Linked DNA regions of Drosophila melanogaster. The protein of the gene in region 1 interacts with the protein of each later gene in a pairwise test. Each region holds a gene or a part of one and is shown in the gene's direction. Other genes may lie near its edges. The genes, in order: AMPdeam, CG18262 and CG14383.

Evidence for each region.
Region 2: the proteins of AMPdeam (region 1) and CG18262 interact in a two-hybrid assay, tested with the Drosophila melanogaster proteins (one large-scale study listed by BioGRID).
Region 3: the proteins of AMPdeam (region 1) and CG14383 interact in a two-hybrid assay, tested with the Drosophila melanogaster proteins (one large-scale study listed by BioGRID).

Annotation. Positions count from the first base shown.
Region 1 is NC_004354.4:13,838,412-13,842,167, reverse strand, and holds the start of AMPdeam (AMP deaminase), read left to right. Parts: upstream 1-2,156; 5' UTR 2,157-2,397; coding exon 2,398-2,602; exon of another isoform or gene 2,603-2,606; intron 2,607-3,756.
Region 2 is NC_004354.4:8,150,823-8,154,578, forward strand, and holds CG18262 (uncharacterized protein), read left to right. Parts: upstream 1-2,125; 5' UTR 2,126-2,221; coding exon 2,222-3,631; 3' UTR 3,632-3,711; downstream 3,712-3,756. Other genes in the region: Gbeta5 (G protein beta subunit 5), read right to left, coding at 245-1,321.
Region 3 is NT_033777.3:12,986,769-12,990,213, reverse strand, and holds CG14383 (uncharacterized protein), read left to right. Parts: upstream 1-1,702; 5' UTR 1,703-1,715; coding exon 1,716-2,714; 3' UTR 2,715-2,729; coding exon of another isoform or gene 2,730-2,781; 3' UTR 2,782-2,838; downstream 2,839-3,445. Other genes in the region: CG31342 (uncharacterized protein), read right to left, coding at 1-78, 190-1,608, 2,730-2,781, 2,858-3,426.

The DNA of each region.
Region 1 (3,756 bases):
AAATGCAGATAGTCATGCCAAATAAAACTGTTTATTATAACATATACGTGTGGCAGATTTTCCAATCAAACCGACCAAAACTGAGTGGAAAATCAGAATCAGTTGTCGGCGCGAAGTCGAATCGAACGGAAAGTCGAAAGTAAAGCCGCGGCTAAAGTCGTTCTTTTGCCGACTTTTCCTGGCTGCCATTACGCAAGTCACGGCCATATTTTCATGTGAAAATCAATAGTGGCCATCTCAGCGGGCACTTTGCCCAAGAAAAATTTAAAAAAAAACACGAAAATCCCGAACGCAGCAATTAATAAGTTCGCAATTCGGTCAATAAACACAAAACAAAGAGCGTTGCCAAAAATATAACGAGATAAAATGAAATGAGCTTAAGCACAATCGAATAATAAATTGAAACGTACAACAGATAAACAAACGCATATATGCACGTCTATAAGAATGCCCATCTTTCAATATATACATATGAATATATATATCTATATATACATAAACATATATATTTGCATAGTATATGTATGAATGTTTGCATATCGCACACTCGGCAAATAAGGCAAATGAACTGACAATGACTTGCAGACATGGCGAAAAGCGCACAATACCACCAGGTTGAACAAACCAATTGGCCTATGAAGCTATCAAAGAAAAAAGAAAAAAAGCTGAAAAAACTTCACATGGGTTATTAACAACCCACCGCTAACCACCGATACCGATACTCCATTGCCAATTCCAATTCCAATTCCAATTTTGGCTCCCATCTGGGGGCTATTGATAAGCCACTTCTGACAGGGCGTTAAACAAATCGAGCCGAGCCCTCCTAATAGAGGAAAGTTACCAGACTAGAATACGGAATAGCAAACTACGAATTTGAAGTGGTGTGTCAAGGAGGCAGCCTTATCGTACTTATCACTTGTCGATCGATTCGATCGAAACATCGCCAAAATGGATCATTAATTTGGTGGTCTACAAGTATTATGCAGAAATTATGTATTTGACAATGATAAATGAGCATATAGGTGGTTTCAAGTTGAGAAATAACCAATTCCATAATCAATTTAAAGAGTGGCACAGTATAATGCATTTTTGACCAATAAGGTCCGCCTTTTGGCCAAATTATTTATACAAATTTACCTAAAATGATGTATCGTACCTCGCTGAGTTTGAAAAGTAGTTTTTCATTTAGTATTTCAATATAAAAATTCTAAATTGTTGCCATTTTCGCAAATTTTGGGTTACAAAAATGGTAAAATTTTGAATTTGGGTATAAAAATAATCCATTTTTTGACCAAAACTTGAAAATTAGTGCTCCAAATATGGAATGTCATATATCGTTGAGTTCGTAATTAAATTTCCAATCAAACTGTATTTAAAAGTTAGAATTCCATTTTTTTGCAATTTTTTGCAAATTTTGATGATGGTACCCCTTACAAAAAATGCAAAAATTTACGAAAAAATTTTTTTTCCAAAATTCGTCAAAAAGTGATAGAATTAGTTAGCATTGGTAATTAGCTGCTCAAAACAGGTATTCTTTTATCTATATGACCATTTTTACCAAAGTTATGACGAAAATTCGGTTTGTAAATATCAAATTTTTGGTAAAAGTCGTTTTTCCGAATTTCAATAAATGGAAAAACTGTTAGTCCTTTAAATCACATGCCCATTCTTAGCTAATCAGAAGAGGTTAAAGTTAGAGACGATGCCATATTGTTAATCGTCTAATTTGTACATATGTATATATCTATTTTTTTTACTGGGTTCGAAGAGCTTTGATCTTGAAAACCCCCTTTGGCGTTCCACCCATTCGGCGTGGCTATATGCAGTTTGTTTATCCAAAATATTGTTTATAATTAGCAAACATTGTGGGCTTTCCGAGCTTTGTGCCGCAGCCGTGTTTGCTAGTGACTAGAAAGCTCCCTACCAACTTTACCCGATATATAAACTTTGGATCCGCTGGGATCGGGAGAGGTGTGAAACTATATAAAGAGTGAGAGAGGAGAGAAAGCAGAGGAAAATACTGAGGCGTAGACAAAGAAAAAAGCGAAAGACAGACGCGTAGGAGATGCGCGAATTGCGTCGAACGGAATTCAAACTAAATTAAGTGCAGTCGATCGCGGGCGGTATATATATTCCACCGATCCGAACCGACAGTTGCCCAAAGACATTGCCCCAGAGCAGAATATCGAGCAGAGCGGCGACACCTGTCACCGGGGGAATTACATAAAAAACAAAACAAAAATAAAAAAAACACAAACACTCAAGATTTTCACAACACACAAATCAGTAAACATCGGAGAAAAATCGAAACAAATCAACACGAAACACTCATTTGGATTAGCCGTTAGCCAATATAGACCGTTCAGGATCCCAGGATCCAGGATCTCAATTGCCGAGATGTCGTACCGCGGAATGCTGAGCACCTCGGACGGTTCGCCCGTCGAGCTGCGCGTCCAGGATGTGGACTCCTTTGACGGATCGATGATGTCCCATGCGGCCACCAATGCGGCCGGTCCGCTGGGCAGCAAGGCCAGCGGCAAGTCCCTCAACGCCTGCACCTCCATGTCCATGCCCCAAAAGCCGAGTTCCCTAAGGGCGACATGTAAGTCGCCAGTTCCCCAGCCGCTGCCCATGTAAGTGAATGCATCGCGACGACACAAGCCACACGAGCCACACGAACCACCCAACCGCCACCCACTGACCTCGTGCACTGCGCGAAAACACAGCAGTCCAGTTGGTAGCAAAACGTATGGCCTTAAATCAATGAAGATGGGCTAACTTATTTCTTGCAAATCATCGCTTACCTATTACAATATTATACCAAGTTGAATGTTTCTTTGTACATCTCTTTCTTTCGATGTCTTTGTCTTTGTCTTTCTCTCTCTCTCTATTTTCTCTGCTGCAAAAAGAAAGCAAATGACATTCACTCTCCCACGCACACAGCAAAGCACTCTCACTCAAAACAAAAAAAAAACCTGTAGCAATAACTCACACGGTTCGCTACACTCGAAGAAATGCCTTGTGTGGATGCAGATATGATCTTTGGTTACAAGCTGTATTTAAGAACTTCTTAACTTGTTAACAATGCTTGTTTTATTAAGCAAATATTGCCCACAAGCCGCATCAGTTGCCTGAAAATTGTTTAATTCATTTATTATTGTATGTACCACTGCATTGTTTCAGTGTAGCGCTAATCCTCTGTCGCTGCGCTGCCAATCAGTCGCAACATCTCTTGAGTCGCACTAACCCATATAGAAATATAGGAAAGTTATAATACCCTGTAAAGTGGTATAGCACTTGGGTTTCTTAAGATACATACTTCAAAATATACAAAAATAAAATGATAATAAATCAGTTTAGATTGCGTCAATCAAGTTTCTGCGAATATATCCCGGTGCCTTGTGGAATAATAAGCTTTTTAGTTAAGATAATTAGCCCACTTAAATATGATTCTTTGCGGCGGGTTTATTCCTTTGATGATAGGAGATTATTGTTGTTTTTGTGACCTTGAAGTGTATTCCAACTTCGGATCGTTTTAATCAGTCTCCTCATCTAGTTTGTTGTGTTTTGAGTGCGTGTTTTGATTTTGCCAGTATTTTTGCTATCTCCGCTAATCCCTCTCTCCTCCATTTCCGTCTCTTTCGTGCTGTTTTACACTGCAAAAAAAATATAAAAGAACAATTAAAATAAATAATATTAGCTATTATAATCTATATTTGAATTATTACCAAACATCCAAGTGATCTATTCAAATGA
Region 2 (3,756 bases), 5.7 Mb from region 1:
AATTTGGTACAGCAGCTGGTAGTAAGCATAACACTGCGGTAACCAAGACATCCATGCTGGCAATCCCGACATGAGACATATGTACACACTTGGGGGATCACCGAATCCGTAACTTAACTATCCTAGAGATGCGATGCACAACACAAAAAAAAAAAAAAAAAACAAATCAGAAGAGAGGGAAAACAAAGCGAGACGGCATCTGTCCTGGACAAATGCATCCCCCAACAATAAGGTGCCACATGGCTTAGGCCCACACCCGTATGGTGTAGTCCCAACTGCCGGTGGATAGAGCGGTGCCATCGGGCGAGACCTGGACGCAGGACACCTTGTTCTCGTGCCCGTACAGCAGGCAGACCCTTTCCGATTTCAGCGTGTCCCACAAGTTGACGGTGTAATCGTTGTAGCCAGCAAACAGTAATCTTCCACTGACCGAAAAGTCCACCGAATTGACGCCAAAGATGATGCTCTCCTTGGCGAACACGGCCACCTCGCGATCCGCTCGCATATCGTACAGCCGGCAGCTGCTGTCATCCGATCCAGTGGCTATGGCATCTCCGCAAGGATGGAACTTAACGCTATTCACATCCGATTGATGACCCTCGAAGGACTGAACGACATGACCAGAGCGCATGTCCCAGATGAAGGCCATGCGATCGCAACTGCCCGAGACAAAGGTGTTGCCCGTTTCGTTGGGAGCCAAATCGATGGCCATTACATCGCCGGAATGTCCGTGGAAGCTTTGCAGTAGCTGGCCCGATTCCACGTCCCACAAAGCGCATGTGGAATCGCCACTGCCCGTGAGGATTTGCTGATCGGAATTCGGATAGATGCAGCACGACATGTAGCTGGTGTGGGTGCCCACTGTGCGCTTCTTGGCGGCCATCTCCTCATCGGAGGTTATCGGATACACGGTGACCTTATTGTCTAGTCCGCCGCAGGCCACAAAATTGCCCGACGGCGCGTAGGCACAGGCCATAATCCAGGTGGTGGGCATGGTGACGGCGTGCTCCTTGTTCGTGGTGAACGCATCCCAGATGATCAGACGTCCGTCCTGCGACGAGGAGATGATGTGACGCTTGTCGGGACTCCAGTCGGTGCACAGGACCTTCGCCTGGTGGCCCTTGAGCACCTTACGCGGCTTGATGTTCACATAGGCGATCTGCTCCAGCCGCTCTGCGATGTTCGACAGATTGACGTCGTTCAGCTTCTGGCGCTCCTCCTCCAGTTTGGTCTTCAAATTCTCCGCCTCTCGCACCAAACTGGCCATCTTTTCAGTGGCATTCGCGTTCGCATTGCTCGCTGGCACCGCCGCCTCCGACATGGTTGCTCTGAGATGGCGCTTCTATGGATATCTCTCGGGGATTGTGTGTCCTATCCCGTTCGAACTTCTCCAATTGGACAGCGAAAAATCAATCCGAAAAAAAGTGTATACTCGAATACGAAAATCCGAATACACAGCGATAGGCGCGGTCGGTTATCGATAAGTTTTACCGTTGGTAAATGGCAGAATGTACCGTTACATATCCTTTATTTTCGGAGAACTTGATAAAAGATTGTGACGATGTTATTATTATTAATTTTCATCAATATGACAAGGTATTGATGAAAATTGGCGTCAAAATTTGTTAAATTTTTGTTCTGTTTTTGTTAAAAGCCGGTTTTCCGAATTTCCCTCATAAAATAATCAGTTTTTTGCCCAGAACTTTGAAAATAATTGACCAAATATGGTATGTCATATCTCGTTGAACTCGTAATGAAATTTCCAATCGAATTGCATTCAAATTTGCGAATTCAAAATTTTTCCATTTTTTTGCAAATTTTAATTTAATGTTACCCCTTAAAAAACATGAAAAATATGACACAAAAATAAATTTTTCTATGCCCGCCCAAAAGTGATAGGGTTCGTTAGTAGTGATAATTGGCTGTTCAAAACAGTTATTCTTTAAGCTGCATGATGATTTTCCGCCAAGTTATGACTAGAAACTACTTGTGATAACGAACTTATCGGAGTAAATACCATTTCAAATGTGGCGCCACAACCAAGGTAAGCTCAACACTGCGGTTCGTTAGCCAACACTACCATCAGCTGGGGAAAACCACCCTTCCCCACCCCCTTGAAACAAACACTTACAAAAAAGCGACGCCAACGGCTGGAATCCTCTGCTAATCCGGAGCCAGTTGACCGCCACTTCCACACAGGCAGACCAGGGAGCAAGCCGCGATGATCAAGGTGCAGCCACCGCCGGATGTGGCCGGTGGCTACCACAATCTGCGTTGCGGCGAGGTCTTATTCAGTGCACCCGCCTCCTACGAAGTGAGCTGCTTGCTGTGCGACCAGCGTTTGCCGTTGGACGGCTACCCGGAACACTTCCGGCTGAAACACTTCACGAACAGCTCCAGCTCGCTGTGTTCCAACGAACTGGAAAGCGATCCCATTGCCCAGGACGTCGTCGAAGTACAGGGAAATGAGGAGCTACATGAGGAACTGGCAAAGGAAGCTAGCCCGGACTTAGAGGAGGAGGAGGAGGAGAAGGAGGAAGGTTCCAAACGCCAGCATTACCAGCGTGCAGCGGCCATGAAGAACACCCTGGTGGAGACTCGCGAGGATTTGCTGGACATCGAACTCGACTGGACGGGCGGCGAGCAGTCGGAGCATAATGAAACTCACGAGGAGGAGGAGGGGGAATCGGATGATGATGACACGAAGGACAGCAACGACACGAAGGACATGCTCTTCCAATGCGATCAGTGCGACCGGGCGTACAACACCAAACGCAGCCTGCAGAGCCATCGCCGCCTAAAGCACAGCGAAGCCAACGGCGGAAGTCTGGACAAATCCGCCAGTGAACGCAATAGCAAGAAGCGGAAAGGTCCGCCGAAGGTGTACAAATGCAACGAGGAAGCCTGCAACCAGACATTTCGCACCGAACGCGATCTGCGCGGCCATCGCTGGAAGCACACGGGAATCTTCTGCGACATTTGCGGCAAACCCTTCACCCAGTCGGGCAACATGATGCGCCACCGCCAGCGACACAGTGGCATCAAGCCGCACAAGTGTCCGGAATGCGACGCGACCTTTTACACGCAAAAGGAGCTCTCCTCGCACAGTATCTGCCATACTGGTCGCATGCCCTGCATCTGCGAGGTGTGCGGACGACCTTGCCGAGATCGAGGCGTTCTCACGGCGCATATGCGTCGCCATACGGGCGAAAGGCCGGCCAAATGCGAGGTGTGCGGCAAGGCATTCTATAGCTTTCATGACCTCAATGTCCATGCTGTATCGCATACCAATTTGCGGCCCTTCGTCTGCGACGTTTGCGGCTCCACGTTTCAACGGAAGAAGGCGCTGCGGGTGCACAAGCTGCTCCACTCTGAGCAGCGCAAGTACGCGTGCAAATTGTGCGGCAAGACGTTCGCCCAGTCCGGCGGTCTAAATGCCCACATGCGCAGCCATGATCCGGCGAGAGTTAAGGGAGCTGTGAAGCCGCTGCCGCAATCGGTCACCATCGAGGTGATCGAGGGCAAGAGTCCGCCCACCACCACCATCACCATGGCCATCGACCTCAATGTGGAGGAGCAGCTGGTAAAGCAAACCGAGACTGCACCCACCACTTGGCGCCTGGCCAACTGAGTAGCTAGCTAGGATTAATATAAGGTTAGATGTAGTTCATCTATAAGTTCCAAATTGCGCCATAATAAATGAGAGAAATCAGAAGATTGGAAATGAATTAATAATCGTAAGAAACCAGAAGGCAG
Region 3 (3,445 bases), on another chromosome or scaffold:
GCTATGGACAGTAGCTGATCACCGATGTGTAGGGCATTGTAGAGCACAGGGTGTTCCTTCTGCTTCCAGCCTGCAATCCTGTAAACACAACTAGTTAGTGAATCATACCAATTGCTTATACAATTTCCAAATATAATTCGGTCTACATACAATCACCGTGGAGATGATACGAAGTTCTCTCTAACTTACCAAACGCCACCGAAGGCTTCTACCCAAGCGATGGAACCGACGCAGTCCTTGCGCCTTAGATTCAGTCGCACTCCTCCAGGATGCATAATCTCGCGACGCAGCTGCATCACTTGCTGCTCCCGCAAAGTCAATCGCTTGTTGGGCGACTGCTGGGCGGGATTGGTGCTTGACGGAGGTGTTCCCTGTGGCGGTGGCTGCATACGAAAGGCTCCGTTTCGGGATGGCGTAAACTCGTTATTGTTAGCGTTACGCTGCGTTGCGGGCTGAGGGACCCGCTGAAGTGGAGCCTGGGCATCGGATGTGGACGAACTGCGTCGCCGCTGCTCCTGGCTGTCACCGGTTACAATCGAGGTGTTATTCCTTTGCGTTGGCGTAACTTGGGTACTATTGGAGCTGGAAGGCGTGGATTGTTCAATGTTGTTATTCGCGGCGCTGGTTGACTTGTGCGATGTCTTCGTTTTCAGTGGCGTGTTCAACAGCTTTAGGTAGTGGAAATCCCTTCTACTTGGCCGCGAACTAATGACCAGTTCGGTTAGTCCTCGGGTCAACTGCGGCGTCGCCCTGCCGGCTGCATTGGGGGTCACTGGTTGCGCCGTTGCCGGCGAAGCCAACCGACGACGTGGCAAAGCTGGACTGCCATTAGTCACTGGCTGTGTGGTATTCGTGTTTGCCACTCTTGTGGGACTGCTTCTGCTGGTGATCGGAATGCTGGAGGAAAGGAAGACCTTCTCGTAGTGGATATTACCACTGATTATGGAGTCACTGCCCTGTTCTGTATTCACGCTAATATTCGTAATGCCCGAGGTGTTGGCACTGAGTATTATCTTTTTACTTAATCTGGGCGTCTGCGGCTTGGCAGGATTAACAGAGGAAGAGGCTGCGGAAGAACTGGGTGCACTTCCTCCGGCCGCTGGATAGCAGGTGCCGTAGACAGCCACCTTGGTGGTTGCGTCTCCGTCACCCAACACCTTTACTTTCGTGGTGCCCGACACCTGTGAACTGGAGCCATTGGACGAGCTTTGCTTAACGGGCGTTGTATACGGATTGCTGCTACTGGACTGTTTGCCAAGGACTTGAATGGTACTGGTACTGCTACTGGCGTTGGACGGAATGATTTGTACGTTGCTTTTATACTCGTGATGGGTCTGGATTGGCTGCTGCTTGGCATTAGTCTGGGGCTTGCTCTTAACCTCAGGGAATCGAAACACCTCAGCGGTGGTGGTGTTCTTGGGCGGCAGTTCGGGTGGATGTTCCTGGCCACTGTTGGCGGTATTCGACACTTGGATAATTGTGATGTTGTCCTGAGAGTCCGCACTGTTCGTAGGAGCGGCGCTCGAAGATTGGGATTGGAGGGGCTTGCGTTGCGGTCGCTTTGATTTGTCTGCCGCTCCAGCTGACATGGATCGCGATGTTTGCGGTCTAAAAGAAAACAGGAATACATTTTAATATTTGATAAAGAATGCTGACGTCATAGTAGGCTGATTTCTAAATCACAAGCCAGTTTGATATAAACAAATCTTGGAGACATGGCCAAACCGTTTTCTTTGACAGAGGAGAAGCTAGATGACCTATTTGTGCAGGAGGTTGTCAGTGTGGTGAAACTGGTGGACATGCTGCCCGATAAAGATAACATTGTGCCCACATGCACCCGATGGCTCAACATCTTCCAGCAGTCAACGCCGAAGGAACGCTTTTCCAGAAACTATATGCTACTGCTCCTTCATAAACAACTCAATGATCACAAATCGTTGGGTTATCCATTTACGTGGCCGGGCAGTTTCCAGTTGGATTTGCGCACTCTTCACCAAATGAGCCTAAAACCGAATCCCGCAATCGGCAAAGATGTTGTATGCTGCAAATTTGATGAAAGTTTGAATGAGGAGGAACAGTCTTCTTTTAGTTCATGCGAGAATATAGTGGAGGCCAATCGTAGGTTGGTCAAAGAAAACGCTGCACTAACCAAGGAGTCGATGGAGCTTCAATGTCTGATCGATAAGTTGCAGGTGAAACGCGCGGCGGACAAACATGCCATTAAAAGGATAAATGATCAGATTTACATGCTGGACAAGGAGAACCGATATCTGAAGCGAAATTTCGCCTGCTCCTCAATCAGCGCCCTAAAAAGACTATGCAATGGACAGGATCCGGCGATGTTTTTTGACACCATGTTCAGTGTTTTCTGCGAAGACGTATCAGACCACCAGCAGGTGCAGCACTTTAACGAACTCTTCAAAACCTTGCTACATGCCCACATGGATCACTACCGGCGACAGCAGCGTGCTCCTCTGATGGAGGAGGCAAGCCAAAGTTTTGACAATCTGAAAGCCCAGGTGAGCAAGAGATACAAAAATGTGTTGGGCATGAAATTGGATGCCGAGAGCCACGAGCTCACCCTCAGTGCCATGAGATATCTAGCCGTCCTGCGAAAATTGTTCAAGGCCACCTTTAAGGGCAAAGCGAGCACCAAGAAGGCAGTACTCAAGTTCCTGCAGCACAACTACGAGCTTATGAACGAGATGTTGTAGGATGGATTCACTCACCTGGGAATCAGTCGTTCGCATTGCAGAATGTGCTCCAAATTTAGGACTTGATCTACAATTTTAGGTTATATTTTGTAATGTTAGAGTAAAAATTAAATATATTTAGGTTATATAAAAAATATTCATACCGGCAGAAACGCGCTGTCCAGTGACCACCACGACGTCAACGCGAGCTCCATTCTCGGTAAGCATACATGCCTTGCGCAGCAAGGGCGACAGGTATTCGTCATCCGAGAGATTCAAATCGGCATCACTAGTGGTCGGTTGCTCCGCTGGAGGTTCCTCAGCTACAGCAACATCTTCCTGACCAGAGGCTGACTCTACCGACTCACTGATCTGCTCGCTGTAGGTGCTTATGGGATCGGAGAGCATGTTGAGGAGGTGCTGCGTTAAAGTGTTGGACATGGCAGCGGGAGCAGGGGCAGGAGGTGCAGGTGTGGTGGGCACTGGACTTGTTGGTGGCTCAGGAGGTGGTGCTGGCGGAGCCTGATGGCTGGGTGCCACCACACGCTCGACGCCCGGTACCAGAGCCGCCGGAACTGGAGGAGGTGGTGGCAGTGGCGATGTGGGATCCCGCGTGGGCAGCAACGGTGCGCGCACTTCAGGTAGCTTCGTGTAGAGGTTTTCGCGCGGCGACAGAATCTTCATTTCGCGCAGCTTGGAGCGCAGCGTTTCCACCCACTCTTGCATAATCTCCCTGCGAATAAAAAAGCGAA